Arabidopsis thaliana: one gene and its partner. The protein of the gene in region 2 interacts with the protein of the main gene of each other region in a pairwise test. Each region holds a gene or a part of one and is shown on either strand. Other genes may lie near its edges.

Evidence for each region.
Region 1: the proteins of NRT1.9 (region 2) and ABCC5 interact in a protein complementation assay, tested with the Arabidopsis thaliana proteins (one large-scale study listed by BioGRID).

What each region holds. Positions count from the first base shown.
Region 1 is NC_003070.9:1,058,813-1,077,009, forward strand, and holds ABCC5 (multidrug resistance-associated protein 5), read right to left. Parts: upstream 12,269-18,197; 5' UTR 11,876-12,268; intron 11,683-11,875; 5' UTR 11,585-11,682; coding exon 9,545-11,584; intron 9,436-9,544; coding exon 9,115-9,435; intron 9,038-9,114; coding exon 8,951-9,037; intron 8,739-8,950; coding exon 8,040-8,738; intron 7,960-8,039; coding exon 7,795-7,959; intron 7,714-7,794; coding exon 7,419-7,713; intron 7,338-7,418; coding exon 7,123-7,337; intron 7,044-7,122; coding exon 6,738-7,043; intron 6,632-6,737; coding exon 6,568-6,631; intron 6,483-6,567; coding exon 6,243-6,482; intron 6,149-6,242; coding exon 6,036-6,148; 3' UTR 5,452-6,035; downstream 1-5,451. Other genes in the region: AT1G04090 (vacuolar sorting-associated protein (DUF946)), read left to right, coding at 1-435; IAA10 (indoleacetic acid-induced protein 10), read left to right, coding at 997-1,268, 1,512-1,822, 1,920-2,052, 2,145-2,214; SDD1 (Subtilase family protein), read right to left, coding at 2,645-4,972; TPR2 (Tetratricopeptide repeat (TPR)-like superfamily protein), read left to right, coding at 14,653-14,757, 14,837-15,049, 15,128-15,319, 15,413-15,613, 15,718-15,798, 16,086-16,209, 16,296-16,388, 16,489-16,562; AT1G04140 (Transducin family protein / WD-40 repeat family protein), read right to left, coding at 17,180-17,198, 17,307-17,413, 17,499-17,612, 17,754-17,867, 18,060-18,120. UniProt on the Arabidopsis thaliana protein: Pump for glutathione S-conjugates. Involved in regulation of K(+) and Na(+) cell content.
Region 2 is NC_003070.9:6,512,455-6,527,774, reverse strand, and holds NRT1.9 (Major facilitator superfamily protein), read right to left. Parts: upstream 7,055-15,320; 5' UTR 6,976-7,054; coding exon 6,885-6,975; intron 6,835-6,884; exon of another isoform or gene 6,651-6,834; intron 6,381-6,650; coding exon 6,163-6,380; intron 6,066-6,162; coding exon 5,512-6,065; intron 5,435-5,511; coding exon 4,534-5,434; 3' UTR 4,407-4,533; downstream 1-4,406. Other genes in the region: CDPK1 (calcium-dependent protein kinase 1), read left to right, coding at 2,039-2,690, 2,824-2,967, 3,060-3,212, 3,302-3,417, 3,526-3,693, 3,786-4,016, 4,134-4,307; AT1G18871 (uncharacterized protein), read left to right, coding at 8,290-8,466; ICS2 (isochorismate synthase 2), read right to left, coding at 8,599-8,646, 8,742-8,834, 8,917-9,014, 9,149-9,233, 9,437-9,547, 9,714-9,771, 9,867-9,985, 10,082-10,150 and 7 more. UniProt on the Arabidopsis thaliana protein: Low-affinity nitrate transporter facilitating nitrate loading into root phloem. Not involved in dipeptides transport, but has a weak glucosinolate transport activity.

The DNA of each region.
Region 1 (18,197 bases), 5.5 Mb from region 2:
GCATACGACCTTGAAATCATTCCCGGAAGCAACAAAGCCGTTGTTTACTCTTCAAAACATGGTCACGCAAGCTTTCCTAGGGCTGGGACTTACTTACAGGGATCGACAATGCTTGGGATTGGGATAAGAAATGACACTGCGCGTAGTGAACTCTTGGTAGATTCGAGCTCACGGTACGAGATCATTGCAGCGGAGTATCTCAGCGGAAACAGTGTGTTGGCAGAACCGCCGTGGTTGCAGTACATGAGAGAATGGGGACCAAAGGTTGTGTACGATTCAAGAGAGGAGATAGAGAGATTGGTGAATCGATTTCCGAGGACGGTTAGGGTTTCGCTTGCCACAGTGCTTAGAAAACTTCCGGTGGAATTATCCGGCGAGGAAGGTCCTACAGGACCAAAGGAGAAGAACAATTGGTATGGCGATGAAAGATGTTGAAATTCTCACTGTTGGGAAACAGATGTGGTGAGATTACCATCGGAGCCCTAACTGTGTAACTTGTAAAGGAAGATGAAGCTTTGATTGCGCAAGAGATTAATTACACAATTAGCGTAGGATTAACGTAAAACTTGTCGTTAGAAGTGTATACAAGTGGGTCCCATCATGTATTTAATTAAAATAATAAAGTTATATAGACGAACAAACCTCCACCAAACGCAACGCACACATTCGTGTACCGTTTCCGATTTTTCGTTCCTCCAATTTCATTCTCTCTCTCTTTAAGAAAAATTCCTTGTTTTTGATCCGAGAATCGAAGTCGCCCTCGAATCAAGATTAAAACCTCGTTTAGTTCTCAATTTCAGTTCTGTGGATCCGTGCGTGACCTCAAGTTTTTTTTTTTTTTCTGTCTCGAAATTCAGAATCGTAGAGGTGTTGAAAGTTGAAACCTTTTTTTTGGTTTGCTTGGTTAATGGGTTTCTTCAAACTTGATCGATAATTGGATTTGAATCAAGGGTTTTAGTGTTCTTGCTTTGTGTATTCGTTTGGCAATTTGGGATAATGAATGGTTTGCAAGAAGTTTGTTCGTCAAGTGGGTCGGTGATGATCGGACTACCAGCTGAAGAAGACGAAAACGCCGCACATTCGTCGGAGGATTCATCTTGCCCCGACGAGTCAGTGTCAGAGACAGAGCTCGACCTAGCTTTGGGTCTTAGCATTGGTCGTCGGAAGGTTCGATCGTCTTTGTCTTCCTCGTCTTCTTCTCTGACCAGGGAAAGTGGGACCAAACGCTCTGCTGATTCTTCTCCGGCTGCCGCCTCAAACGCAACCAGGTAAAAAATTCATCTTCGAGACTTTATATTATAACCTATATGAATGATTGGTCTCAGATTGCTTATTGTTACAGAATCAAAGCAACTTAGAGGATAGAGCTTTTAGACCTTAAACTTTGAGAATGAATGAATCACAGGATTGAATCAAATAGAGTGTTCCCTGAAATGTTTAGTTAAACTTTTGAATCATATTGGTTTATACTTGTTCGTCTTTTGATTTAATATCTTTTGGTAATGGAGCAGACAAGTTGCTGTAGGTTGGCCGCCTCTACGGACTTACAGAATCAACAGTTTGGTCAATCAAGCAAAGTCTTTAGCTACGGAAGGCGGCTTGAGTTCTGGCATTCAAAAGGAGACTACAAAAAGTGTAGTGGTTGCTGCTAAGAACGATGATGCTTGCTTTATCAAATCGTCCAGGACTTCTATGCTTGTGAAGGTGACAATGGACGGAGTTATAATTGGAAGGAAGGTTGATCTCAATGCTCTGGATTCTTATGCAGCCTTAGAGAAAACTTTGGATCTAATGTTTTTCCAGATTCCTTCTCCTGTAACAAGTCAGTTACTAATTCTGTTTCATGAGATTCCATGTGATTCTGTTTTTCAAATTCTGTGTCTCTTGAAATTGACTGGTTTTGATTGATCGATTTGTAGGATCCAACACACAAGGATACAAGACAATTAAGGAAACATGTACTTCGAAATTACTGGATGGCTCATCGGAATATATCATAACATATCAAGATAAAGACGGAGATTGGATGCTTGTAGGAGATGTTCCTTGGCAGTAAGTGACTACCCTTATAACTTCCCATTCATCATCTGTATTTGTAATGTGGCACATCCATTTCAATGAAAACGATCTTTTCATCTTCTCAGGATGTTCCTCGGGTCTGTGACAAGACTGAGAATCATGAAGACATCAATTGGAGCTGGAGTAGGTAAGTAGAGAGTCCTATATAGCAAAAACAGTTTACATCTCTTTGGTCTGTAACTCATATATCACATTCACATATATACATGTGCATATGTTTATACATGAGTGTACATATGTCTTGTGGTCGTTTGTGAATATCAAACAACAGCTTAACCTTGTCTTTAAAGATCTTTGTATATTTAGGGTTTTTCACTCTATTGGTGCCTGATCCAATATACCACTATAACAACAAAGGCATGCATCTGGATTAGGGTTTAGTGATGAAATCAAGCTACAGTAATATGATAGAATCACCAGTAGTTTCATTCCCTGGAAAATGAAATACAGCTCTTGTGCGTACAATAACAACAATCAATCAGCTTCACGAGGTTTTCTTAGCATAAAAACCTAATAAACCTAACACAGTCTTGAAACAGAATGAAAAACGTTTTCCTTCATTGGCTCAGTTAGTCTTCAAGGTTACAGAGATTGGACTTCTAACTCGCTGCATCAGATTATGAGAGTTGACCCAAGTCAACTGCCCTTGTGCAAAGCTAGCCACCTTCCCTCCTCTGTTTTTCTTCTTCAATACAAACCATACTCTATAGCTCAGCGTCTGATCCACGTGTTTGAACACAAGTCTCTTAGGATTGACAATAACTTTGATCCCCTCTGGAGCCTTGACATTCACTGAGTATATCGAGTTAGGACTCCCAACGTTAGTGACACGCCTTGTGATCATCTCCGTAGTCTTGCCACGTTTGAAAATCACGGCTATCGACGGGTAATTGAGACTAAAACCCGGGTTTTTCCGCAATATTCCATTGCAGCTCACGTTCTTATGAGTGATTGCTAAAATATCTGATCTTGTGAATCCAAGAGTGCAGAGGTAAGTTATGTAATCCACTGGTTGAATGTTGTAAACCAATCCCGGGTTTATCGCCTTTTGCGGATTCACATGCCCTGCTCCAATCGCAAACACACCGGCTGGTTTGTTACCATCCTTTATCGCTTTCCCTTGACGATCGTACAAATCCGCTGTTGTCATCAATGCGGATTTGATTGCAGCTGGAGACCAGTTCGGGTATGCAGACCGGATAAGAGCAGTGATTCCGCTAACATGTGGACAAGACATTGAAGTTCCTGACATTACAGTGAAGTTAACTCTTCTTGAATCATAAGGAAGTCCGGTTGGTCCTAGATTTTGAGGCCAAGCCGCAATGATATTGACTCCCGGAGCAATCATATCCGGTTTTAGTATCGAAGGATTGGCTAAACTCGGTCCTCGAGCTGAAAACTGAGCCACCTCCGGTGCTCGTGACCTCCCAATCACCGTACCACCAAAAATTATCCGCGCCTTTGGTTTCACCGTGGCATTAACATAAGCCTTCAGAAGGACTGACTCAGTGTAACCAATCAATGTAGCTGGTAAGAGATGAACGTCAATAGAATCTTCTTCTTGGTTGATCTCTGTATTGGCTAAGATCATTGCAACTCCTCCAGCTTCTTTAACCGCTTCTCCTTTCTCCGATCTTCCATTGACTCCGCGATCACAAATCACCATTTTGCCTCGGATTTCTTCTCTTGGAAGTGACCCTCTCAAACAGAACTCACTTCCTTTATCTCCTCCTGTGACGTAAATCACCTCAACCTCTCTCCCGGCATTCTTTATACCTTTTCCCGGATACAATGACTCTCCATAGAGAAGCTTTCCGTTGGCTAATCTGACCACAGCGGGAAATCTTCGATCAAGCGTGCCTGCGCCAATGGTTGAGACCCAAGGAGCTGTGTTTGCAACAGAGCTTTCGATTGGACCGTTGTTACCAGCTGCACAGATTACAGATATACCGCGTTCCATGGCTCGGAATGTTCCAATGGCGATTGTGTCATCATACAAAGGAATAGGGAAACCGCCAAGGGAAAGCGAAAGAACATCGACTTTATCTTGAATCGCTACATCTATAGCTGCTAGAATGTCAGAGCTGTAACAACCATTGAACCAACAGACTTTATAGACTGCAATGTGAGCTCCAGGAGCCATCCCACGAGCCACACCAGCTCCATTGCCAAGAACATTCGCCATCGAAACAGAGGATCCACCAACTGTTGAGGCGGTGTGAGTCCCGTGTCCCGTTGAATCTCTTGCGGAAATGTATTCACGAGGCATGTTTGGTGATTCCTCTGGTGAATTAGCGACACGGTGTCCTCTGATGAAGAATCTAGCACCGATTAGCTTCCGGTTACAGCTCGAAGAACTGAAACTTTCTCCTTCTTGGCAAATCCCTTTCCATTTCCGTGGAATCGAAGGCATTCCGGTATCGTCAAAGCTAGGACTTTCAGGCCAAACTCCAGTATCAAGCACGCCGATAATTGTGCCTTGACCAAACCGAGATTTAGACCATACACCGGAGTTTCCAAAACCGTCGAGTCCCAAGAACTTGTAAGAGTAAGTGGTTTGAACCTGAAGAACATGGTCAGGTCTCACTGCAACAACTTCAGGTGAATATCTCAGTATCTCGGCTTCTGATTCAGTCAACTGAGCAGCAAATCCTTCAATCGCAGAGCCATAGGAGTAGAGAAGTCGAGAAGAAGGCTCTTCCTCTTCTTCTTCAACACCTAAAACCGCTTCTTGGAGAAAAGAAAGATGCCAATCAAACTTTGAGGCAAAGGTTTTAGCGGTTTCGCTATTAGGATGAAGCTGAACAATGTAAGTCTGCTTCTGCAGGATCTCTGACGAAGAAGAACAAAATAGAAGAAAGATAATGCAGAGAAAGAAAGGTTTGGGTTCCATTGGAGAGAGTTAAAAAAAGGAGTTGGTTTAGTGTAGTTGAAGTGCATGGTTTTAGAGAAGAAGAAGAATAGGGTATTTAAAGAAGAATGAAGAGAATTCAAAACCTGGGATTTGGAGTCTAAGGAAGAAGATGATGAAGCTCGTGAAGAGTAAGAGCTCTGCCTCACGAGTATCCTTTGTATGTTGCAGAGGTAGGAGCTTCTTCTCTTTTATTTTTTTCTAAGACATGAACTATATTAACTGAAGCTGTTTAAGGTTTTTCACTTGTAAGGCTTTTTTGTCTGCCTTGTCTCTGTGTCTCTGTTTTTCCTTTTTTTTTCCTTGTTCACGAGATGTTATGGTTAGGTTTTATTGCGTATAGTAGTTTGTGTAGCCTTTTTCAGCAACAAAAGATTTTGAAATTTATTTGGTTTCCATTGAAGTTTTACCAAGCCAAAGAAAATTCATTTAACAATAACTTAATAATCAACCATTGGCCAAATATATGTATTTTTTTAAAAACATACTATTAAACTTAGTTAAAGCCTTGAATAGGAAAATACGACCGTTGAGAAAGGAATTAAATGCAGCAGCGTGGTTAGTGTTCGTTCACTACGTGCATTTATACACGCACGCTCAACACGCCTCGTTTTGTCATCGGGTACTACGTCACAACAAAACGACGTCGTACAGATATTGTTATATTGGGCTCTGTACAACTTATAAGCCCAGTACTGATTACACTTATAATAAGCCCAATACAGATCACACTTGAGGGATGATGACGAATGATTAGTAGTTTCTACTCTAATCTTTGTTTGTTTTTGCAGTTTATTGATAAACATGAAAACCAAAGAAACTAACTGTTCCATACAAAAAAAGTTTCTCCCAATGTTCGACAGAAGAGATTTAAACCCAAAGTTTTTTAAGCGCGGAGATTTTGGCATCCTTTCATGCTTTTTCTTTTCTTAAACCCTGTGGAAAACTCTCTCTTACTTTAGACCTTAAGCTTTTGTCACATATCAGTTCTTTTATATCCTCTTGAGAAAAGAAACCCCCTAAACTGAATTTTTAACATGGAGGATCATAATTCAGGGATTCCAGTAGATCTTGAGGAGTATTCTGTTACCAATTTCAAGAACATCGATGATTTGTCTTCTAATAGCCGTGCAGGAGTATCAAACTCTGCTACTCTACCTGCAACAAACCATAAACATAAACATTGAATTCTCCCAAAAGACGACGAGTAATATGAAGAAAGATCCATGTTTTTAATTTGTATGAGACTAACCGTCGCTGAGAACCAAAACTAGGTCACTGTCTATAACAGTTGGTATCCGGTGAGCAATGGTGCAGACCGTGCAGTCTTCAAACTCTGTTCTGATTATCTTCTGGATCAGATTGTCTGTTGCTGTGTCAACCGATGCTGTTGCTTCATCAAGAACAAGTATTTTGGCTTGTTTCAGTAATGCTCGTCCAAGTGACACAAGCTGTCTCTGCCCTACACTCCAGTTATCTCCATTTTCCAGTACTACTCGGTTTTGAGCCAAAAAAATCAGTAGAAAGAAGCGAAAAAGACCCGGGAAAAAGAGAGGACTTTTGATGTAAATAGTTACCTGGAGAGTCAAGTTTTAGGTCTTTTCCTCTAACAACGTCTCCAAGCTGGGATTTATCAAGCGCCTGTCAGCAAAGTTGGGTAAATCTCTAGAATCAAACTCCAAATCTCAGAGTTTAGTGTCTAAAACATAAACAAGATAAGAGTATCAAACAACATATTTATAGATACCTCCCAGATTTTATCATCTGAATGTTCTTCAAGTGGGTCAAGATTTGCTCGGATTGTTCCTTCAAATAATGTAGGATCTTGAGGTATAATCCCAAGGCGACTACGAAGATCATGAAGACCAATTTGAGAAATGTCAATGTTGTCAATAGTAATTTTTCCAGCAGTTGGCTCAATCAATCGAAACAAAGCTTGAATCAAAGTCGACTTTCCGCTTCCCGTTCGCCCAACAATCCCAATCTTTTTTCCACCCGGAAACACACAGCTCACCCCATGGAGTACTGTTGGAAGATTCTCAGCATAACGAACCTTCGAAAAGAACGAAGCAATAAGAAAGCAGGGAAAGGAAGTGCAGAGAGGTAATAAAAATAGTATTTTTGAATAGTACCTTAACATCAACTAGCTCAATTGTTCCCGTTGCAGGCCACGAGGAAGGCGGGCGGAAATCTTCTATAATTGCTGGGGCCTCTCCTACAATCTGACTGTACTGATAAATCCTTTCGATTGAGATTATTTTGTTTTCAAGCTTACAAAAGCTAAGTATCCATCGTGATAGACGTCCATTCAAGTTAAGTCCATATGTCACAGCAAGACCTGCCATGCCTATTACAACAGGAACATCAATATTAGAAAAACCGGCTGCTCGTTGATGCTTTTTTTGTTATAGTAACTAGAGATACTTACTTGGATCAATGGTTCCATGTGGAAAACTGACGAGTAAAACCATACAGAAAGCAAATACAAGTGTGGAAAGTAATTCCATGCGTAAACAAAGCCATTCGATAGCAGCGATACTGCAGAAGAAAGGTCGAACAAAACAATCTAGAAGATAAAGATTCCTTTTGATAAATCTTTTTTCCTGGCCAAATCCTCTTATTGTGGCAGCACCAGCAATTGATTCTCCAAAAAGATGAATTATTGGAGACTTCTGGATACTAACTATCCGAACCAATTCTCTTGAAGAAGCCATGTAATATTTCTGCATTTTATTTCAATATAAACTAAATTACGAAAACAATCTTTCACAGTTATTCAGAGGAAAAATCGAAAATAGATTTACCTGCATCCAAAAGCAAGCAACAGCTACCGGAACAACAAGAAGGAAAACTTGCCAGGTAACATTGGTCATTACAGCGACAATGCCACAGAGTTGTATTGTTGTTGAAGCAAACCCACCGAGTCTAAAAGGAATGTCAAGATCTACAACACTTTGATCAATAGAAACCTGCACATCAATAAAATCCCCAAAATCAGAAAAGTAACACAGAAACTGTGGAATTTGGTTATAATACCACATCTACATACCCGATTCAAAATTCTTCCTGCAGGAGTGGAATCAAAGAATGACATTGGCGCTCGGAACACACTTCTGAGCATATTTAAGAACAGTTTCTGTGCAGCTGCAAGACCAAAAGTTGCAACCAGAGCAGCTCGAACAAATATGAACACAGAGCTCCCGAAAGCTAAAGCCGTATAAACGATGAGAAGCAGAGTAGGATCCACTTTAGATTCGTCACCTTCAGTTTGAGGATTTGCCCAAGCCATCCACCAATTACTAGCAATCTGAAGAAATTGGAAAGCAGCTTGTGCGAGTATAATAAGAGGAATCAGAGCCCCTTTATATGCAGCACCCATGTATGACAAGTACACCTTCATGCTGACTTTTCCCTTTACTCGTTCCTCTTCTTGAACAAGCTGCTTTTTGCGGGAACGCTTAGCTTTCTTCTTCTTCTCTTTGATTGCCTTTAGATCTGAAGCAGATCCTCCCTCTTGTACTTCCTTTGCCAAAGTCTCGATGTCATTTTCAAAAACATCAGACTTTGGATTATGCAAGACCAAACTATCGCGAATAGGATTTTCATCAGAGTCTTCTGAGGAGGGACTTGGGATGTCCATTGCCTCGATTGCTTCATGGTGGGCAGACACTAAGGCCTTAAAATCAGTACCTGCTTGCAGCAGATCATCATATTTACCCGATTGAATAATCCTGCCTTCCTTCAGAACCTTTGAAACAACACAAATAAATATTTCAGAGCTTATCATAACGGAAACAGTTTGGAAACTCCTTCAACAATTTTACCTTTCTGCAACAATAGAGATAAGTTCATCACAGGCTGGTAAGCTAAACACCTAAAAGAGACCCTTTAGCAATTCTAAAAGGACCAACAGTAGCCAGAATTAATGTGTAGTAAAACCGAGAAAAAAGAGTTTCTTACCAATATTAGATCAGCTGCAGGGAGAAACTCAACTTGATGCGTTACAAAAACCACAGTTTTCTCAGCCAATGCAGATAGAATATAATCCTGTATAGCCATTAATAACCGTGTTACGCAAACGTTCAAACTCAAAATATGAAAACATGACTTGAATAGCTTCTTACCCTAAACAAATCAGAGCCAGTGTGTGCATCAAGAGCACTAAAAGGGTCGTCTAGTAAATAAATGTCAGCATCTTGATATAATGCCCTTGCAAGTTGTACACGCTGTTTCTGACCTCCGCTGAGATTTATACCTCTCTCCCCGATAATAGTTTGGTCCCCATGTGAGAAAAGCTCTATATCTTTCTTTAGGGAACATGCTTGTATCACATTCTTGTACTTTGTTTTCTCCATTGGACTGCCAAATAGAATGTTTTCTTCAATGTTACCAGACTGAATCCAAGCCGATTGAGACACATAACCAGTAGTACCACATATTCTAACCTATATAACAATTATCAGCAGTTGGATCAATGATAGCTAAGTGAATATAAGAAAAGAAAAGAAAAAATAGTGAAGCAATTGAGACAAACACCCCAAAACATTAACTTACTTCGCCAGAGATTTTTGGGATTTCCCCTAGGATGCAAGAGATAAAACTTGATTTTCCAGAGCCAACTGTGCCACAGACAGCCACACGCATACCCTTCTCCACTTTCATCTGAATCCCAGATAATGTCGGCCTTGAAGAAAAAGGGTCCCAACAAAACACACCATCTTTAATCTCTATGGCTATATTCGAAAGTCCCCGTGGAATAACAACAGTTGCATCTTCTTGAAGTTCTTCCTCCTGCAAGAACCCAGAAATCCTATCAAGAGAAACCTTTGTCTGAGCCATCATTGAAACCAGATCAGGAAAGTTCCGAAGTGGCTCCTGAAGAATTCTGAATGTCGCCAGAGCAGAAAGAACACCTCCAGCGGTAAGTTGAGTGCCTAGAAATATCGAAGTAGCGAATGTAACTGCGGCGACAAAAATGGGGGAACTCCAAAAGATAAAAGTAACAAAAGCCTGAGAATATAAGGCTTTGCGAAGCCAACCATACTCCTCTTCCCTCATTTCTTCCAATCTCACTCTATAACGATCTTCCCATGCCTGCAATTTCAGAACTCTCATGTTCCTAAGACACTCTGAGGTTTTCCTCATTCTTTCATCTTTCGCAGTCATCAACTTATCTTGATAGTCTTCCTGGACCTTAGCGAGTGGAATCGTGACAAGAATCGAGATTATTGTAGCAACCAATGTAGCTACAGCAGCTATGCCCACGCTTTTATATAGGATTGCAAGAGCAAGAACTATTTGCATCGGAAGCATCCAAATATCATGAAGATACCATGAGTAATCTCCTATGCGCTGGACATCGACTGCCATGTAGTTTACAATTTCACCGCTCGTGTGGTTCTGCTTGGCTATACTTGAAAGTTTGAGACCTTTTCGGTATACCATTGCTGTAAGAGCTGATCTAACATGCATCCCTAGGATATCAACACCCATATACCACTGGCGGGTGGTGACTGTCTCTATAAGCTTGGACGTAAAGAATATCCCAGCGAGTACGTATCCTTCATGAGGGAAAATCTCCTTCCCTCCAAGATAATCAACAAAGTAGCTGATCAAGTAAGGACCGACATAGGACACAAGAGTATTCAACCCAGCAAATACGGCATTGCAAGCAGCTTCTTTCCAAAATGATTTCATAATTGCACGAGCTAAAGAAGGAGGCTTTGAAGGATTCTCGGACTTGCATCTCTTCCAATTCGACTTCAAGACCTTGTAACTTGATTTGGCTCTATCTCTTGGTGCAAGAAGCGGTATATCCTTAAGCTCAAGCGGTCTTTTTGAACCAGCCGAGAGAAGTGGATCCAACCATGAAAGCGTAATAAGGCTAACTAGCCCAGCAGTACTATATGGAGTAACTTTAAGACAAGCTGCCTCTTCTTCAACAAGCAAAGGCTCTTGAAGATCAGAGGAGCTTCTGGTAACTTGAATACCAGAAACGCCTCTCCAGGCCAGAAAGCAGAGAAACCCAAGAGCAGGTGTAACAGCTAAATTGGCGACAACATGAGAAGAACATCTGCTCCAACCTTCAATGGCTAGCCTTCTTCCATCGACATACATAGTACAGAGGCAAATCGAAAACGCCAGGAACCACCATATCCTCACCAAGAAGGGTAGCTTCTCTGAAGACTTGTATTTCAAATGAAGAACTAAGAAGCTAAGGACAAACCAAGCTAAACTCTGAGAAGCTGGAAAGCAAAGAACAAACCAGTCACTGACTTCTCTTCTAACCTTAACCCCATCATATACTAACACCAAAACTTGGACGCCTAACACATATAAGCAACAGAGCAAAGACAGATTAAACCCAAACCCAACACTAACATGGTTAACCTCTCTTTCCAAGCTAAGATTAGAAGCTGAAACCGTATCGTCCTTAGAGAGCCTATCTCTGCCTCTTCTCACGCAGACGAGAATCTGCCTCGCGGAGACAGCAAATAGAAAGACAAGAAAGAGTAGGAGGTTGATGATGACCGAACATAGTTCCAGTAGTGGCAAATGCTCTCGAAAGATCAACGAGATCTCAATAAAATCCATGATCGGGAAAGATTTGTGATAGAGAGTTTGTTTAAAATCAACAACCGGCGGATTGTTCGAGATAGAACAAGCATCTCACCACATCCCAAAGCTCGTAGCTGCAGAAGAAGAAAAAAAACAAAGGAGAGAGAGGCGATGAATCTTATATTTCAAAGTGGAATTGACACATTGCAAATCAAAACAAAATGAGTTTCTCTGCATGACCCAACACGTAGAAGCGATCACAGAGATACAAAAATACAAACAACAAACAAACAAACAAACAAACAAAAAGGAAACTTTGGCTCTCACCAGCTCTTAATAGATCAAAATCGATATTTCCCAGAGAAGAAGATAGAGAATGAGAAGAAACAAATCAGCTGAAACCAGACGTCACTTGGGTTCTTGAGAGCAATCGAGAAGAGAGATCTCTCTTCTCTTTAATTAAAATCAACAAGAAAAAAATTAACAATTTCTTCTGTTTCTCTCTAATCCTTCATTCGCCAACGAAAAAAAATGCAAAATTTATTGGTTGGATCGATTAAAGATTGTGCAAAGTAGTGGAAGAAGATTGGGAATTTAATAAAGGAGCTTCCTTTGCCTAAAATAAAATAAAAAATAAAGGTGGTTCCTTTGGGCTTTTTGGATGCTTTCTCGTGGACTTACTGTTTTGCTTAGTGTGTGTGTTAATAATAAAGCCGTAAGCTCTTTGTGCGCTCACGATGCTTGACGTCGATGCGTCAATGTGTCTGTATGTGATCTGACTTTTTTGGTGATTTCATTTTTCAATTGTCTTTACTCTTTATGATCAAATTATTGTATTATTTGACCATATATGTTATCAATAAAAGCACTTATCATTAAACTTAACCATGGTAAGCAATGAATCATATTCCGATTCTTTTACGTTTTTATTCTCTCGATTCGTTTTATACGAAATCGCCAATCATAACTCAAACGAAAGAAATTACCATTTTGCTAATCTAAGCTGTGTCTAATTAATTGTGGGATACAATGGAGGAGGAACCTTATACGGTCCATGGAATATTCTACACGTGACGTGATGAGTATTATGTATTGTCTACAAGGCTACAAATATTACTAAAATAAAACTGTATAGGTGTCAGTATATTACAAAATACTATATAATCACTGGTTTATCAATTCCTATGTATACACATTGAGCTTTTTAAAATTCATTTGTAGAAAGTGGAGACATACACGTTATCGTTTCAATACATATATATAAAAGAAAGAAAACCAATCTATCATCTCTGCACCAAAACAATGAGACAAATGTGTCAACTTGATTAAAAGATATAAAAGAATAGCGTAAGAGTATGAAATTAATGACTTTATATATAGTCCAAAGATCCAAACTTATACTCACCACCAAATTGTTCGTATGTACTAATACTATAGTATAATTACATGCACTCTTGCTCTCAAGTGAGAGAGTGTGAGACTATTCAGATAAGCAACTATATAAGACCAACAAAAGATGATTTTTTTTTAATTCTTGCCCGTATGTGTTTATTTGTTTGTTTGTTTGGACAATATGCGGATGACGACTTACTACACATGCCATTCATGCAAGGTAATGCGTCTTACGTGGCATACCATTTTCTAATACATGTATGATTAAATGTCAATTATTGCTGACTATGCAGTAAAAAATGTGTACGTTAATATGTCCTTTGATTAATATATTACATTTGGTTATACACGGTACGTCAACACATTTCTAGTTCGCAATAGGGAATTCTACGTTCTTCCACATATAGTATTTCAAATATATATATAGACTGAATCTTCCTTCTTCCAATCAACTTATATTCTCACGAATAATAGAAATTAATTTCAACTATATATGATGATGTAACTTGGAAGAATTAAGGAGATGATGTAACAATCTAGAAGCCTTGATAGTGTATTATAATGTTATACATAAATAATGACAATTGTAATATAGTTGTTAATGCTGCGTAGTTTTTGTCATTTGCGTTTGTTTGGTATAGTAATGGCTTTGTTCAAACTTTTTTTGTACCACTTTCGGTCCATGCCAGCTCACTTTCCATTATCTTTCGTTTGCATAAATACAAATTTCAAAAAGGTAGCTTTTCTTAGATGAAAAAAAAACAGTATATATGTTGCTCAGTTCATGAACACTGTATATGAACCAAATGTCGCTTACGTATGCAAATTGTTCAATTGAGGAGGACAAACAACAACAAAAAAGATAGTGGAACATGCGATCTTCTTTAAGTTCAAACCGTGTGTAACGTGGATAATGATAGTGGTGCGTGGTCCTTTAACAAAAGAACTAATCATAGTGTAATATACCTAACACATTTCTCTCACATGTTATCTATTTGTTTTAGGTGTTGACATATGACCTAAAAGAAGCCTCTGTATTGTTGCTTAAACGCAGGCACTGCCTGGAATGTTAACAGGGCTAATTGCGAGTTATAAATATTCAGTTGTTGTAAGTCTTATCAAACTATTATTGTCTATTGATGATTTAACAAATACCAAGCCAAACACAATTTAATTCCTATCGCACTATTTTGGTAAGGTGATTGGTGATTGGTGAATGTGAATTCAATACTAAATGATGTTACAGATTGTACGGGCCAAGTTAGGCCCATTGAATGGCCCACCACCTTAAATTCAACTATGGTACTAAGAAAAGTTCTATCACTTGTCGTTTTATTTCTCACCGACCTTTTTCTTACATTGTCCCCCGCTCTCACCTTTCCTTTAGACTCCGGTGTCTCAGTCTCACTGTCACTGGAATTTATTATTCGACTCAGAAATTTCACTTTAAAAAAAAAAATCTCATGTGTGTTAAATTTGGGCCCATAATACTCTCTCATATACACACAATCGAGGCTCATGATAGCTATTGAGATCAAACCGGGACAATAGTATTAAACCGGTATTCGGTTAACGAGAGGAAATAACCGGTATCTGTCCCTCTCCCTCCAAAGAACTCGAAGCTTCTTCTTCTTCTTCTTCTCCTGCTTCTGTCGTCGTCTAGGTTAATCGAATATTTCACTATTTGCTTTCTATCTTTCTGCTGCGAATCAATGGCGCTATGGATGGACGCTGGAGCGACGCCGACCACGGAGAAGGAAAAGGCTGATCTTGAAGCTATTTCTGCTCTCAAAGAATCCACCGCCATCGAATTCAAAGTACCTCTCTCTTCTCTGGCTCGTTCGATTTTGATGTTTGATGTAGTATCGATTTCATTCCTTTGCTGTTTAAACACAGGAAGAGGGCAATGAATGTGTAAGGAAAGGGAAAAAGCATTACTCTGAGGCGATTGATTGTTACACGAAAGCCATTAGTCAGGGAGTTCTAAGTGATTCAGAGACCTCTATTTTGTTCTCGAATCGATCCCATGTTAATCTACTCTTAGGCAACTATCGGCGTGCCCTCACCGATGCTGAGGAATCAATGAGGTTATCTCCTCATAACGTTAAGGTAGTAAGCTAAACTTTCTCTTTGATTTCGTTGTACCGTTTTGGTTGGTTTCTCTGATGGGTTTCAATGCTTCAAAAGGCGGTGTATCGAGCTGCTAAGGCATCCATGTCATTGGATTTGCTGAACGAGGCAAAGTCTTATTGTGAAAAGGGAATCGAGAATGATCCGAGTAATGAGGACATGAAGAAGCTTTTAAAACTTGTGAATTCAAAGAAGCAAGAGAAAGAACAACATGAGGCTCAAGCCTCACAGGCGGTGGTGGAAGCCAAGGTTAGATTTACATGAATATCAAGCTTTAATACATTACAAGTCATTTCACTTTGAGCATTTTAGCTGACTCAGTTTTCCTTGGTTTCACTACAGGCTTGTCTCTCTGCGATCGAGAACAGAGGAGTGAAGATTGGCAAAGCAATGTACCGAGAACTCACTGGTTTGAAGAAGCCAATGTTAGATAAAAACAACATCCTTCATTGGCCTGTCCTGCTTCTTTACGCTGAGGCCATGACAAGTGACTTTGTTGAGGACTTTTGTGAAACAGACATGTTTGCAACTCATCTTGATATGATATCCTTTTGCCAGTTTCCTTTCGTTTCTTATTCTTGCATCTCATTTCGATAACGTCTATAGACTGTTCAATGCGCTTTATGTCCCTCCTTAGCGCTCTAAACATGTTTTCAGAGGACAGCCCGCCGCTGCCATGGGATAAAAACAACGAATACTCACGTGATGTTATTGAGCTTTACTACGAGGTAATCACTCCTACTTCACCCACACATCATTCATGTATTAACAAATTCTTGTTCAGGTCTTCCTGCGCTATCTTACAAAAGTATTTTCAGTCAAAATGTTTCAGCTTAGCCATTCTGTTTTTAATGTCCACAGCCTCTCAAATTCTTACATATGGCTTTCGTTTTATCCACTAGCAAGAGAATCATTTCTTTTTTTATAACACTGATGATTTAGTCGAACATCTTCAATGAAAAGTGTGTGTTATATGAAGCACTGGTAGTAACATCAGGATCTTTCTTTTCTCTAGGCGAGTTCAGGAACTCCATTGCCTAGGAGTAGAGTTCTCCAGTATCTTTTAGAAGGTACAAAAGGTTCTCAAGCTGAAACTACCGGAGAAGAGGACACAAGCGCAACCAAAACACCCTCCTACCGTAAGGATCCTAAACTTGTGATATGATATGCATTTTGCATTGCCAATCATTCTATATAACATATATTCCTTGAATTTGGGTGAAAGTGAAAGGTTCTTCGGGTATGGTTAAAGTGAACGAGAGAAGAACATTGCATGACGTGTTGAAAGAACCTAAGTTTGTCATCCCTGAGATTCCAGGTTTGTTTGTATGATCACATTGGCGTCTGTTTTCTAACAGTTGCTACAGACTTCGTTTGCGTCATTAACGCCTCTCTTCTTGTTTTTTGGTTGGTTACAGTCTTTTACATCGTATCAAAGAGGTCCAAATTCTACAAGGACTTTACCGCTGGAAAATGGACTCCACCAAACTAAAGAATTGAGTTAGAAAGAGAATAGTTGATGATAATTTTTTGCAGCTTCTTTTTGTTGTTGGTTGTCGTAATCTATTACTGTTACCGTTCAAAGACACAAACCTGTTCTGAGTTATGGCTAGGGCTCCGCCACGTCCAAACTTTTCTAGGTAACGAAAGTAAAAAACCAAGGGGAAAAAAACGATCTTACAGAGGAAAAAACGTGGTTACAATCTTAGTTACAAACTACAACATCAATTTATCAAACAAAAAAACATCTTTTTTTTTTACATTTTTCTGAAGTCATTTTAAACAACAAACTCAGAAACCTGCTTCATTTCTTTTTTGTTTTTTTAAAGAAAAGGGTTTGCAAATGGAAGATAGGCCATCCCAACCTACGGCCCTCAACAGTATATAAGAAAATAAGAAAAAGATACCACCAGCTCGTGAATGGAAAAAAGCTTCTCAGGTTTGGAATCGCACAGCGGGTAGGACAACTAAAAGCACCGCGAGCAAACAGAACGGGAAGAATAACCCGAAAAGAAACAAAGGAAGGTAAATAGTCCCGCAATGCAAGATCTGTCTATGAGAGTGTGTATATAGAATGGTTGAGACCCAAATTCTTCCCTGTCTAGCATTCTAACGCATAGGTCTGCACCTGTGGTTCAAAATTTTTCCAAGGATGGAAATCGAAACATTCATATGTTAGTTCAAAAAGATTCGTTTGCTTTCATTCATCTTTTATTATTATTTCAAGAAGATCAACCTTGTTAATAATTCTACCTCGGCCAAGTTCTCATCGGGAGAGCTATTTGGTGCAGTGAGATTGGACGCAGCAGCTGTGTTGTACCGGAAGATCCTTAGTTTTCCCTCCTGAGATAAATATTGAGCAAATATCAATACAAGTCAACATTTTAGCGCCGAGAAGTTTTTCACATTACGATTTAGGATTAATTACCTTTGTTCCATAGACAAGACCTCCCCCAGGAGAAGGATGAAAGCAAGCAACATTAACTTCATCCTCTGAGCTTGGAAGTACTCTCACCAGTTCCATATCTGAAACTCTGTAAATCTGAAGGAATAGAAAGGGAAAAACACAGTCTAAACTCTTGTATGATATTCCAAGTGTATATAGTTAATGATATAAAATGGCATCTGCTAAACATTGTTCTGCTGGTCTAGAAATTCATAACTACTGGAGCATAGACGTTACCTCCAAAACTGTGAAAAAATGTGATGTTGTTTCTCCATCACTCACAATGCTCTTCAAAAGAGAACCATGACGACGACCATATGCAAGCAGAATGTGCTCGGAGGTTGGTGAGAACTGCACGGAAATTTTTAATTATAAAGTATTTCATCACAAAAATACAAGTGAACAACTCTATTTACTATTAGGGGTGAAATCTCAAGGAACTTTGCAGTTATGAAGTACTTGAACAATGTTATGTCTAGAAAAAAGTTGCAACAGAGACTTATGTCTAACAAATTTATTTAATCCAACCAAATTGTGGCTAACCTGGATAGAGGTTAAGCAATGTGCAGCCCTAATTGCCCGGGACACAAGTACCGAACCAAATCTGCAGACATACATAAGACATTTTCTCTTGAGTTTTTTTTTGTTTTGTGCTGTGTAAAATTTTGAAAAAGGTAACAA
Region 2 (15,320 bases):
GTTGCCGACGACAAAAGCATGTCCATCGTTTCTTTCTTCTTCGGAAGATTAATCAGAGGATTTAAAATAATCTAAATTCGAGATTATGTTGTATAAATATCCATTTTGAAACTTGAATGAACAAAAAACCGATAAAGTTTTCCACGAATAAGTTGTTGGTGTTTTTAGTAGGTTCATAGATAGGAGGGTGGAAGGTCTCTAGTTGGGCAATAAATTGAAACCGCTTTTTTCTGACCTACCAAATATTAATTTGATCGAATCATTGAAAAAAATACATATATAAAATTATCCATATAAAAACTATGTAGTTTGCTTTAAAATATTTCATCGTATGCAATGATATATGCATACTTAATCCACCACATGTCCCTTGAAACAAAAGCACTTAAGCTCTGTGTGGTTGACATTAAATCACACATTTCATTTTGTTAAAATTAAAGTCTAAAATTTTATTCATGGTAGTACATCCATCATCAAAGACCATTTTCATTGAACAAAATAAAGTTTCAATCTCTAATCCTTTGTGAAAATTCTTACTACTATATATTAATTAGGTCTTTTGGAATATAGACGCGCAACACACATTTTCTTATATATGGATTGAATGGTATCCAAATCCCCAAGGTAATGTAATGTAAAACCAAGATAAAGAAAACGAGTATGACATTGACAATTGAACTTGTAGCGAAGTCAGGATAGGACGACTTGCGGTTTCTACTTTCTAAGCCAAAGAAACATAGTTTTCATTGATTTTTAGTGTTTTTAAATTTGTTGTTGACTTCCATTAATGGAATATTTCGTACTTTGCTTCTTCTTTTCGAATTTTATTTACCTATATAACTTTGCTTTATTTTCTACAACACAATAAGTATTGCTCATAATTGAGGAAGTCTATACACACAATATTTTCCTATCCTTTCTTTTTTTCTGTCGGGAATTTCTTCATATCCTAGCATCTAGATTATGATTGTACACATACAAAAACAGAAAAGAACTAGACTTCAAAATAATGCAAATTAGAAACAAAAAATTGCTCCAAAAAAAATATATTCAAAACTATAAATAAAATATTATTATGATTTTTCTTCTATTTTACGTACATTGTATATCTCTAGAGAAGAAAATAATTTTTAAAAAATAGTTTGGGATCAACGTCGCACTTATTGTTTTGTCTTACAATCTCAGAGTCTCACCGTATCCACCACGCTGGTCAACAACTTCAACAAAACTCTCTTCCTCGAACTTCAATCTTATCCCTTCATTTCATTACCATTAATTCACACCAACGGCTAACATTGTCCTCCTCGCTAAACTGTTAATTATACGTTTGGCCGTAATGTTTTGAAGTCTGCCTATATTTCTTTTCAATAAATGCTCTTTTAATTAGGTTTTAATTTGGTGAAATCCAACCTTTAAATTTTCTGATGCTGTTAAATCTAAGAGTTTGAATTTTCTAAAATCATTGTTGTCGGTTATCATTTGTACATCTTGATAGAACTATAATATGATCAATATAAACTTATAATAATAATAACTGAAAATACAAATGATTTTGTTTGTTTGTTTATAAAACCACTGAAAAATGCAAGAGTTAATCCACTGAGTTCAACCAAAAAATAAAGAAGTGAATTCTATTAGTCATAAGCTTGGACCAAAAAATCCATCTAGAAGAAAAAAAAAATTGAAAAAAAATTACAAGTTTCTAAGAAGATGGTGCAATGGTTAGAAAAATCTCTCAAGTTATTAAATGCATCATAAACTAATACTGTATATTACTATACACAAAAATCAAAGACTCCCTTTTTTTTAATTGAATCAAACAAAATCCGAAATTTCGAAAGGTCCGACTTTTCCTCACCTGAACCCGCGTTTTCTCTCCCCCTCCCAACCCAACTCTCCAATTCGCCGGAAAATCACCGCCACCGTCACTTCCGGCGTCCATATGAACTAAAGAGATAAGCTTTTTTCTTCTATAATCCTTCTTCTTCTTCTTCCTTGATCTCCTTTCTCTGAGTTTGCTGAGTTTCTTAACTCAGCCATGGGTAACTGTAACGCCTGTGTAAGGCCAGACTCAAAAGAATCAAAACCATCTTCAAAGCCGAAAAAACCCAATCGAGATCGGAAATTAAACCCATTCGCCGGAGATTTCACCAGATCCCCAGCTCCAATACGTGTTCTCAAAGATGTAATCCCTATGAGCAATCAAACTCAGATCAGCGACAAATACATCTTAGGTCGTGAATTAGGTCGAGGCGAATTCGGAATCACTTACCTCTGTACTGATCGTGAAACCCACGAAGCTTTAGCTTGCAAATCGATTTCAAAGCGAAAGCTTCGAACAGCTGTCGATATCGAAGACGTTCGTCGTGAGGTAGCGATTATGTCTACTTTACCTGAGCATCCAAACGTAGTTAAGCTTAAGGCTAGTTATGAGGATAACGAGAACGTGCATCTGGTTATGGAGCTTTGTGAAGGAGGTGAGCTTTTTGATCGGATTGTTGCTAGAGGACATTACACGGAGCGTGCTGCTGCAGCTGTTGCGAGAACGATTGCTGAGGTTGTGATGATGTGTCACTCTAATGGAGTTATGCATCGAGATTTGAAACCTGAGAATTTCTTGTTTGCTAATAAAAAGGAGAATTCTCCACTAAAGGCTATTGATTTTGGCTTGTCTGTGTTCTTCAAACCTGGTAAAGATTCAATTTTTAGTGTTTCTTAACTCAGTGGATGGTTCTATTTTTAGACTATCCTGCCATATCTTCATGTTTATGGAAGTTTGTGTAGATATCTGAGATTGGGTAAATAACGTTTTCTTTATTGTAGGAGATAAGTTTACAGAGATTGTAGGAAGTCCGTATTATATGGCTCCAGAAGTGTTGAAGAGAGATTATGGACCAGGGGTTGATGTGTGGAGTGCCGGAGTTATTATCTATATCTTGCTCTGTGGTGTTCCTCCGTTTTGGGCTGGTTAGCTTCTTCTTTTAATTATTTTAGCAGCTGTGTAATTGTTCACCTATGTTGATTAGATAAACCGATAAGATTGTGGTTTCTATTGACAGAGACTGAACAAGGTGTTGCTCTTGCGATCTTGCGGGGAGTTCTTGATTTTAAGAGAGACCCTTGGCCTCAGATATCAGAGAGTGCCAAGAGCCTTGTGAAGCAGATGTTGGATCCTGATCCGACTAAGCGGTTAACTGCTCAGCAAGTGTTAGGTGAAGTTCTTGTGTTTCTGTTTTCTTTAATGGTCGTAGTTACCTTAATCCACTCTATTACTAATGATTTTCTTTTTCTCACCTTTCAGCTCACCCATGGATACAGAATGCAAAGAAAGCTCCCAATGTTCCTTTAGGAGATATAGTCAGATCTAGGTTGAAGCAGTTCTCTATGATGAACAGATTCAAAAAGAAAGTTCTTCGTGTAAGTGTTTTTTTTTTGCCTTTTACTTTTCTGCTGAAGTTTGTAGAGAGTCTGTTGTGTGTGTCTATATTTGGTTTTGATCATTATCATCCCTGTTAATGCTTCCAGGTAATTGCGGAGCACTTGTCTATTCAAGAGGTTGAAGTGATAAAGAACATGTTCTCACTGATGGATGATGACAAGGATGGTAAAATAACTTACCCGGAACTCAAAGCTGGGCTTCAGAAGGTCGGTTCACAACTTGGTGAACCAGAGATCAAAATGTTGATGGAAGTGGTAATTTAAGCATTGCCCTTATCTGATTAAAGACCAATTCAGTGTTCTTCTCTGATAAACATAGCTGAAATCTGTATGGCTTTGACGCGCAGGCGGATGTCGATGGAAATGGGTTTCTGGATTATGGAGAGTTTGTAGCTGTGATAATTCACTTGCAGAAGATAGAGAATGATGAACTTTTCAAACTAGCTTTTATGTTTTTCGACAAAGATGGAAGTACATACATTGAACTTGATGAGCTACGGGAAGCTTTAGCGGATGAGTTAGGCGAGCCAGACGCCAGTGTTCTAAGCGACATCATGCGTGAAGTTGACACTGACAAGGTTCTTTCAAATATCCAAAAAAATCCTCCTTTAAGGCCTAACAATAAAGCTTGTCAAGAGAAAAGATATATCCCTCTGCTTCTGAGTCGGATTGTTGGGCTTGTTTGCTTTTTACAGGACGGACGTATAAACTATGATGAGTTTGTGACGATGATGAAAGCTGGAACTGACTGGAGAAAGGCATCGAGACAATATTCAAGAGAGAGGTTCAAAAGCTTAAGCATTAACTTGATGAAAGATGGGTCATTGCATCTCCATGACGCTCTCACTGGACAAACTGTTCCTGTTTAAATTTATTCGTTATCACCAAAAACAGAGCAATGCTCCGTTTTTTCCCCATTTCATAAATTGGGAATTTTCCGGGCTTGTTCTTTGAGGGATGGGAATTTTACGGAAGCTATGGTTCTTTACATATATAAACATTTTACATTGTATTTTGTATGTAATGTTTTGTTCAAAGGTTGTATTTTTATTGTCTCAAAGCCCCTAAACCAAAGAGTCAAAGGAAAGATCTTTATTACACTGACACCTTATCAAACTCAGCAGAAGTCTTGTCCATGTCCTTGTCCTTGGCCACAACATCTTTGTAACGGTACCAATGTGAGACCAACAAGAAATAGGCCAAGTTTAGAGTCATCATACCAGCAACCAAGAAGTAGAAATACTCCAATCTTCCCTTGTTTAAATCTTCCGGAAGCCAACTTCCTCCTGAAAATCCCTCTGTGGTATCGTGTACCGCCGATAACAAAAAGGTGCTGAGGTAACTCGCCAATCCGATTCCACAATAATACAGAGAACCAGCAAAACTTCGCATGTTCTCTGGAAACTGTTTGTAGTAAAACTCCATTTGTCCAACTCCAGCGAGGGCGTCCGCGATACCCATTAGCACTAGCTGAGGAATCAACCACATACCGGACATCGAAGAGATTGCGCCTTTTCTTGGGGCCAACCCTAGCGTCGGTTTTGTGAGAGCTACCTTTCTTCTGTATTGTTCTACAATTGCAGACACCATCATACTTGTGATGCATAGAAACAGTCCTGCTCCAACTCTCTGCAGTTGTGTGATACCGCCGTCTCTGCCTGTATACTTTCTAAGGAAAGGTACAAGGACGCGGTCATAGATAGGTATGAATATCGTCATTCCAAGCATTAGGAAGACGGTATAAGAACCGGCCGGGATCTGGAAACTTCCTGGACCAAGGCGTCTATCGGATTGAAGAGACTGAAAGATTGTGTAGGTTGTTTGTTGAATGTAAGCTAGGTAGAATAAGGCGGCCGAGAGCCAAACCGGAAGCACCCGGATCACGCATTTAACTTCCTCCACTTGTTGCATACTGCAGAGTTTCCATGCATCCACCGGCGACCCATCTTTGTTCAGCTTGTCGTCTTGTGTTTGGATTGCCGATTTGTCAAGAAACCTGCAAATTAAGAAAACCCTAAAATGTTTCTAAGTTGTTCCACAAGAAACTAAGAGAAGTAGTGAGGTTATTAGTACCTGAACTGCTCTGTATGGCCCAATTTCGAGTTCTTGAAATCACTGGCGATGTAGTTGTAAAGCTCGTTAGGCCCAACGGGCTTTAACCGCCTCTTCTTGATCGCGACAACAATGACACGAGTTATGCTGTGAATGGGACTGCCACTAGCTTTAACCTTGACATAGAGCTTAGAACCAGCGAAGAATATGATGCAACCAAGTAGCATTAGAATAGCTGGGATGGCTAAACCAATGCTCCAGCTCACGTTTGACTGAACATAGACGATGAGGGTTAACGACACCATCTGAGCAAACGTGAAGGTGAAGAAATACCAATTGAAGAAACTCTCAATCCCTCGTTTCCCTTCTTTTGTCTTCGGATCGAACTGATCAGCACCAAATGGAAGATTGCATGGCCTAATCCCACCGGCTCCGATCACCAGCAAAACCATTGCTCCGGCGAGAAACATGATTTGTCCGATGGATGGCCCATTGCACACGCTTCCTATTTCCTTAGCGCATTGAGCTGGATGCAGGGGATGAATCACAGCCGTTAGATCCATTGCCACCGAACCCTTTGCATCAAACACAACAAACGATTGAAACTTTCAGACATAATCAGCTAGTTTTTTTTCAAACTGAAAATTGTGATGAATAGGTTTTAGAATTTACGAGAAAGCAAGCGATCATGGCGAAAGATAGGGTCTTGTAGCGGCCAAAGTAGGAGTCACAGAGGAAAGCAGCGACGATGGTGCCAAAGTTGCTTGTGCCACCGTAGATGTTGACGACTTTCGCAGCCGTGATGCTCTTCATGTTGAAAACCGTCGTTAAGTATATAACCAGATTCGATGAACTTCCAACAATCCCCAATTTTTCAAATGTCTCATTTCCTACCAAATTAAGAAACAGAGCATTAAGTTACTCTGTTCATAAAATCCTCTGTTTTCTCTATCAGTTTCTTGTTCGTTTCAAGACCAAAAATGTTATAATAAATAAAAATAAAAAACATGAAAGAAACAGATCCATAAAAAAAGTCCTATGTTTTAATTTTATGAATCAAATGTTTTTTTTGTCAATGAATCAAATGTTTCATAAATAATAATAAAAACATACTAAAAGAGCACGAAATTAATAAATATTCTTATATTTTTGTTTATTTATTTCTAATAAATATTTTTATTTATTTACAAGTATAAAGTCCTCATGTTTTTCCATCAGTTTTTTGTTCGTTTCAAGATTATGAGTGTAAGTAAACAAAAATCATAATTTTGAAACGAACAAGAAACTGATGAAAAAAACATGATGACTTTATACTTGTAAGCAAACAAAAGTATTTATCAAAAAAAAAAAATATATATATATATATATAAGAAAGAATATGGATGAATAAATACCAATGATGAAGGGCATGACTTTCCATCCTCTGTAGATGATCTTAGACTCATCATCCTCTGCAATGTTCTTCTCTGTCTTCTCAACCTCCATTGTTATGTTTTTCTCTATGCTCTGCTCTGCTTTCTCTAAGTGTGTGTAATGTGTTAGTATATGTGTGTGTGTATATATATATTAGTGGGAAGTGAGAAGGATCTCATTATGAGACCAAAAAAGCTATTTGGAGATTATACCAAAACAAAAGTGTTGGATTAGAATATAGATTTGAGTAAAAAGAGTCGGCTTTATCGAAAGGAGAGGACTGGAGTTGGTATTCCTCACTTCATTGTTTTGATTTGTCAACTAACACACTAACGTTCGGATAACTTATTAGTTTATTTGTTGCCATGACTTATGTAATATTCTTAACTCGTTATTTAAACATTAAGTAGCAGTCAAGAGTTCATCTTTAATATCTGTAATATCGACAACGAATCTATCCTTTTACTTTTCATCTAGTAGGTATTCTTAAACAATATGAAAAAATGATAAAAGAAGAAGAAGAAAGCTAAGAAGAGTTGTTTAAGAATCATATATTGTGCCAATACGAACATATTTCTGTAATGTTGACAATTGGCTTTTTAGTTGAATGCAATAAACTTTCAAAAATGCAAAAGGAATCTTCTCGCTACCGTTACTTTTTTTCTTCTCAAAACTTTAATTATGTAAAAGAAACATTTAAGCATGCAAAAGAGAAATAAGGAGACGACCATTGCATTCAAAAATCATGTTGATTCGTTTTGATAAATATGACCCTCAAGAGGGGTAAATTGTATTATTGGCGGTCAACTAATATCCATATTCTTTTTTATTTTACCGATTATAGTTCATGTACATTTCTAGGTTTTTTAAAATATATCTATATAAGTAATGAATGAATGAATTAGACATTTATTTCGAAATTTTCTATACTATCAAAAATAGAAACCCACCGAATTACGATTTAATTTGGAGAACAAGAGTATATGTTAACTAAAAGTCTTATCTAAAAAAGATGTACATTTGCTTCTTCTTTTTCAAGTGATGGGTAAAAGAATATTTATATTAATTTCATAATAAATAGAAAGTTGTCTTTGAAATTATTGCTACAGAAATAAAGCATTTCAATTTTATAGTGAGATATGATTGTGAGAACAATTAGAAGAGAATATGAGTGATGGAGAAGACAGTTTTGATTATCAAGGGAACAAAAAAGTATCTTTTCCTAAATGATATAACCCAAAAAAATCAAATCCCTTTTGATTGGATTAGTCCAAAAGAAACCACCCATCACTTTTCTGAAACCCCATTAGCACACTATCGGTAATCTAATTACGTTCGTTCGTTAATAAGTAGTAATAAAGATTTGTTTTTGGAGCCTTAATTATTATGTTTTGTTATTGTCACATAATATTCCTAAATAATTTGTCATTTTTTCGTGAAGGTGGAAATATACGTCAGCTTTGGATCACAACGTGCGTAAGTGTTTCATTTGATGGACCTCATAGAGTCATAGTCGCTTCAAAGGCTTCTAGTCTGGTCAGAAATTGGACAACAAGTAGCTAAAAGAAGATTTAAAGTGTACCATGCAGCATCATCATTAGTGTTGCTTCTATTTACAATATACACACCAATGACCAAACACACAAATGATACAAACCAATTTAGTTATTAAACAATCTCAATTCCCGCCTTTCTTTAGTTGATTGGTTGCAAAGCTGACTCATGTTCAAGTGACTTAGTGAACTGCAGAAAACACATATCAATCTGATTTGAGATTTCATAAAAGACATGGAAATTGCAGTGAGAGTGTTTAACAACATTCTTGAAGACTTTTTCACCTGAGAGATCTTAAGCTCAAGCTCGTTCCACTCCGAGGAAGGATTGCTTCCTGAAACGATTCCTGTTCCTGCATAGATCAATGCTCCAAGACCCTGGGAGACACAAAAGGACCAAGATAAATGCACTGTATTTAACAGTGAATGACCCGTTTGCTACACTAAGGGGAGTTGTCACCTTTTCGACTAAAGCAGATCGTATGCCTACAGAAAATTCACTCTCCCCACCACCAAAGAACCCAATAGGTCCAGCATACATTCCTCTATCAAATGACTCTGGAAAAAGAAGAAGAATATGTATCTCGGTATAAGCATATATTAGTAGATAGCTACTTCTACAGAGAAATTCTTTTTTCCGAAAAGACAGTGAAAGAAAATTTGAAAAGCATCGGAATCAAATTATGTTATACCAATTTGTTTAATCAAAAGCCTAGCTTCTTCTACTGGACATCCGCAAACAGCTGGCGTCGGATGCAAAGCAGTTAAGATGTTAAACTGAAACATAGACAAACATATTTTGAGGTAAGAGAGAAAACGTAGCTTTTTTCACTCAATGGAAAGAGGACTGTAGTATGAGACTACAACAGATTATAAGTTAAAGGAAACTCATATCTGTCTATTTTAGATAACCTGCAGAACAAGTCAAGTGATTTAGATGATCATGAGAGGTTAAAATCATGTAAGAAATGTCATGTAACCTCATCATCTTCTCTTTTTAGCTGTCCTGCCAATTGAGAATATAGATGCTGTACTCTTGCAAGCTTTCTCACTGATTTATGGGGTTTAACTACTACCCTGTCACATATGGTCTGCAAAGCAGAAGAGAGGATTACAAGAAAAATAAAATCAGAAGGTTATATATAAAAAAGACATTCAAGATAAATATGTTTTAGCATTCACAAAGATTCTGCTAAATAAATGTTCTTCTACTTGAAGCCAGGAATTGAGGTTGATGAGTAAAAATATTGAACTTACTTTAAGTTTTTCTCTTATATTCTCTCGGACAATAGAAAACTCAAGATCGTCTTTGGGACTACAGTAGTATTTGCAAATAATATCAGTACACATATCTGGAAGTTTCTAAACATGCATCTTGTAAGTGTACAAAGCACAAAACAAACAGTTGACCTGGTTAGTAAGTCGCGCTCTATCTCCATTTCACGAACCTTTGAATCACCTCTAGGCCTTGTTGCAGCCAAAGCCTCACTGCAGACACCTAGATGTTTTCTGTGGAAGAGTCTCTCAGGCTGCTCCATTAAGATGTATGTCAACATTATCATAGCAGCTAAAAAACAGAGTTTGGCAACAACTTATCTACCACGTAAGAAGAATAAGTAACCTACCGTGTTCCCTATGAATGCTGGTGCACCGGGTGGTTGAAGACAGAATTGGTACGCGTCTTGTCCTTCACACTGTCATATTAATAATTAGACTCAGATTTCAACACTTCAAAATTGATATAACCGGAAGAAAGTGATTAGTCTAACAAATGAGTGAGGAAGAAAAAGACACCTGCAACCGTGCTAACCAAGCGATAGGATCAATGTCGGTATCCGTAATGATTCTGCTACTGCGTGCAAGCACAACCTGATCCCCAAACCAAAATTTCGTCACTGAAACCCATAAAATGTATACAAAAAAGGAAGATAAGGTTCCTTAAGTACCTTGCTTAGGGGTGAATGTTTGTCCTTGATAATCTCTAGAGCATTATTCACAGCAGGGTAATAGGCTCCTTCACTTGGAACATGGTTCTTGCTAACAACAATAACTCCTAAAGATTCTCGCCGTAATCTCATTATAACAGAAGAAACCTGATAAAACCAGACAGTTTTAGCTTTGATTATATCAAGTAACTAATAAGTTAAGGAGCAGATTTAGAAAATGGCTAACCTGAAGCATAGTTTCCTGAAGTGCTTCAATAGCATTTTCAAGCGTCCATGAGAGCTCATTGTCCCAAGCAACAGTTGCAGCCAGCATTGAGCTTCCTCCAAACTCATCAAACTCGACCTATGTGTATATCAACAAAACAAAGTCATTATTAGTCCATGGTAACAACAATTATCTTAAAGAAATCAAATTCTAGTACCTGGGGCACTGTAAAGTAAAACGAGCCAAAATGTTCCCATTCCACAGCGATCTTCCCTGTAGGATCAAATCGAAGACCTCCATAGGCACGAATCAGAGGAGACTTTGAAGACAAGAACCTTCAAAACAGGGGAAATGAACATAAGAAGCGAAGAGATAAACAGCAGAAAGAATCAAACTTCATGAAGATAAAAAACTTTCGGTGCTGGTACCTTCGGATTGATCTCCAGTCATCATGAGAAAACGGGTCGAGATCGCGGAAAAAGACAGCAGACCCGATTCCAGCGACACTAACTGGATTATGATCAGATGATCCATTGTCACTTGAGAAGTCTTGAAGAAGATCTGGACGGCCAGAATCGCTACGACGGGAAAAGAAACTGCGAGGAAGAATTTCGTTCTGTGCATGAAGCCAATCGATTGCTCCAATTTTCTGCTCAATTGGTACCTTCAATCACAAGATTAACGTCTATGAAAATAGGGCTTTATTTTTATTTTTGCGCGGGAGAGAATATAAGTCGCTAATGTTTCGATTTTTGATTTTTTACCACTATTTATTTTCTTTTATCTTAAAAGTCAAATATTTTTCTTCCAGATAAACCCATGAAATTAAAATCTTACTTTCTTACATCATGAAATAACTATTTACCTTAATTATTTTCATAAACAGATAAATCCATTATAATAGTATTGATAACATTCATAAAAAGAGACTACTTGCTTGATATTTTTCTAAAAATCTAACAATAATTTATTTATTTGCAGAAATACAAAAATATTGAACCAATGATGCAAAATAGTTCAAACCTGACCCCCATACTATTTGGGTAGATAGATTTTAAATCTAACAATAAAGTTGAGTCAATCTATGTTTATGCAACCGACAGTCCGACAGCAAGAAATGGAACAATATCACACATACCAATGTAAGAGCTCCACGTGGCTTAAGCTCATTTGTTTTTTAATCATTGTTTGCCTTACGAATTTTTGGAATGGCACAAAGCCACAAACTAATGAAGAAATTATTACGAATTTACGTACCTGTAATCGGACAATGCCGGAGGAGAATGGAGGCGGTTGAGATTTGAGGTCAGAGACGGCGGTTATCAGCCTCTCCGTCGCGGCTGCCGGAGATGGCACCGTTGATAGAGTCCTTGTTTCTACCGTGCCAAGTGGTGCTTTGTGGTCAGCCTCACATCCGTTCATAGACAGTGTACAGCGTAGGAACCTCTGTTTCACAAAGAGGGTTTCAAATACTGTGACGTAAAAGACAAAGAAAAACAGAGTGGTTTTGCTGAAACCTGAAAATGATTGAAAACAAAAAACGAAAAAAAAAAAACCTGGCGAGAGACACGAGAGGATAATTTGGTGAATGAGGTTCGAGAGTAGCTTTGGAAGATCGAACTGGGATTGTATTTTTTAGGGTTTGTGCCCAGAAAATGGAATGAACACTGAAGCGACGCCATTAGAGAGACTACGAAGATGTTGATATTATTGTATGGCACTGAGACTTCAACTTGTACGATATGTCTTGCCTGAATATATATACATATATATAGATGTGATCCTGAAATTGGTCCCACATTATGTTAAATTTCGTTTTGAGTTTCATGAAAACTGCTCAAGAAATTCGGTCTATAACTAGATTTTAACCCGACAACTCATTTTTAACAATTAATATATATAAAAATTTGTAAATTATTTTATAGTTTGCAATTGTTACTAAGTAACGTCCTGCCAAACCCGTCTACAATAAAAACTATTTATTTTATTAATATTGATCTTATTTATAATATCTTTATGAATCATTGTCAAAATATTTTAGTCGTTACGGGACATTGAACCCACACATTTTTCGCCTATTGGTTAATATATGTTCATTCTTAAAATTTCGAATCACAAAATAGGACGAAATTGTTTTGAGATTTTTTAAACTCTATATGTTATATAATGATGTTAATTTTTTTGATATAATAAACTTTTTATAAATTTAAATATTAATAATGTTTTATGAAGTTTAAATATATATATAATAATATTTAAAAAATTAATATTTTTTGCCTCTTTAAATAATGATATAATAACTCTAAAAGCAAGAATTTAGAAGATTTAAATCTTTAATTAAATATTTTCATGCCTAAATAATTAATGTCAGTAGCATGACATTGTAAATAAGTTCAAATACATGATTTGTTTATTTAAACAAAAAACGTTTAGTAAGAACAATATTTATTTAAACAAAAAACTTTATTTTAAAATATTGTTAACAAAATACGTTTATGCTAATTTTAAGGGATTGATGTGAAGTTTGTCTGGATTAAATTTTATTGATAATGTAATTGACAATTTAAATTAAGAATTTAAAGTAAAATTAATTATTTTGAAAAAAAGATTTAATGCTAATGGCATTGGATTGTAAATAAGTTCAACTCTAAGATTTATTTGCTAAAATGGCTGCAAAAATGTATATATAGATAGATTTGTAATGTAATTTAATATCGACTGTGTGATTGTTTAATAATTAACAAAATGAAGATTTTATTTGGTAATCAGGATCTATCATGAAACGAATCTCAGACTAATTTTTCAAATATTTATCTAAAATTTAGCATTCTTGTCCCATGTTCATGTACCATTCGAACGTTGCGCCTCTACAGTACACCACCATTTCGTTACCAAAATAGCCTTAGCGGGCAAATCATATGTAGTTATAGAATACCGTTCTTAACATTTAGATCATGTTCTTCGTTAATATAATGGCACATCTGATTAATTAGGTTAAACACAGTTAGCCATGTATCATAGATTTCTATGGACATTTAAATAGACGTTTATCAAATGAATGAATCAAAATAGCTTTTAATTTATCTAATGGATGTTCAGCAAAATTAAACTAAACCATAAATCTATATTATTATTTTTAACAAACCATAAAATCTAAATTTAAACCCTAATCTTTATTTAATAAAATAGATCGACATATACGGTATAAAATATGCTCGGGATAAATAAATAAAAAACTAATCGTCTCGTAACAATTAAGGTAAAATTGTCCTATCTTTGTAAATAATATATTTTCTGTTAGCACTTAGCCACTTAGTAGTGGAAATGTGGAATTAATCTGCTCCAAACTCTAGAGATTAGTGAAAAGAAAAACCCTTGAGATTTGGAAGAGAGTTAGACTCTTCTTATATATTCTTAAACAAATATCTGTCTCTTACAAACTTTTACATATTCAGTTTCTATAAACCTTTAAAAGTCAAGTTATATTAACTATTGAAAATAACAATAAATGTCGAAGCTTTGATGGTCAAACAAAACAATTGATAACAAATCAATCCCCTTCAGGCCACGTGTGGGGAGGTAACGATACGTCCATATCAAATTAATCATTTACGTTACAGAGGCGTTTCGTATCTGAATTCGTATGAGCCTGCACTGCTTTTTTTCCTTTTTAATAGTTCTGTTGTCTTTGTCATCTACTTTACTATATACAGAGCAAAAAGAAAGAGTACGTCTATGACCAACATTTGACGGAGATGTTATTAATTGCGTATCGTAGATTCGTATAGGTTTGTTCAATATTTCATTTTGAATTTTTGTTTGCCAGTTTAAAAAAAGATAAAGTTAAGAGAAGATTTGATTTATTTTTGTTAACAAGACAATATTGTGTTAAAGAAACAAGTGAGCTGGAAGAAACACGACATTCAACACGAAAACCCAAGTATATCGTGTTGTTGAAACACGAGTATATCGTGTTAATGGTATGGCTTGTGATGTTTCGATCACAACCACTAATCATTGACGTTACTCATAAGTTTGTTTTTCGTCTTCTTTTTCTCTTTTCGTTTTTTTAAAAAAGTTTTTCTTCTTCTTTAGTTGGTTAATTTTTTCTTTTTCCGACGATTTAAAGGTTATATTATCAGAAAAGTAAACTGAACGAAGAAAAATTCAATTGTTTGAGACTTTAAACAAAACTGAGTGTCGGATTAATGAACACAAAGAAGTGGGGGAATCTTCTATATCTTCTTGTCAGAAAATCCAAATGATTCACATGAAACATGTATTATCTAGAAAGGAAACATTCATTTCTAATTTCTTTCTCTTTTTGGTGACCTGTGACCAAATCAGAGGTCAACTACTATTCAGAAATTTGTTTGTACATTAAGGATGAATTTAGGTTGCTGTGGCTAAAGGTATAGGAAACCACATGAGAACAAATAGCGTTCCAGTCAATATTTTAAACTCTTCTCTCCTCTACTATCACAATGACACGTTACACTGGATGGAGTGGACCACTGTTTTTTCTTAGTTCCTCTACGATACACATGATATTTACATAATTGAATCAGTAATATACAAACTGGGAGAGGATGGACCACTTTTAGATTATGACTATTTGCTTTTTGTTTGGAAAGAGAATAATGATAATCAAATGTATTATTGTACATGATATTTTTGGACTTGATTTTGGTGACATAATCAAGAAATACACAC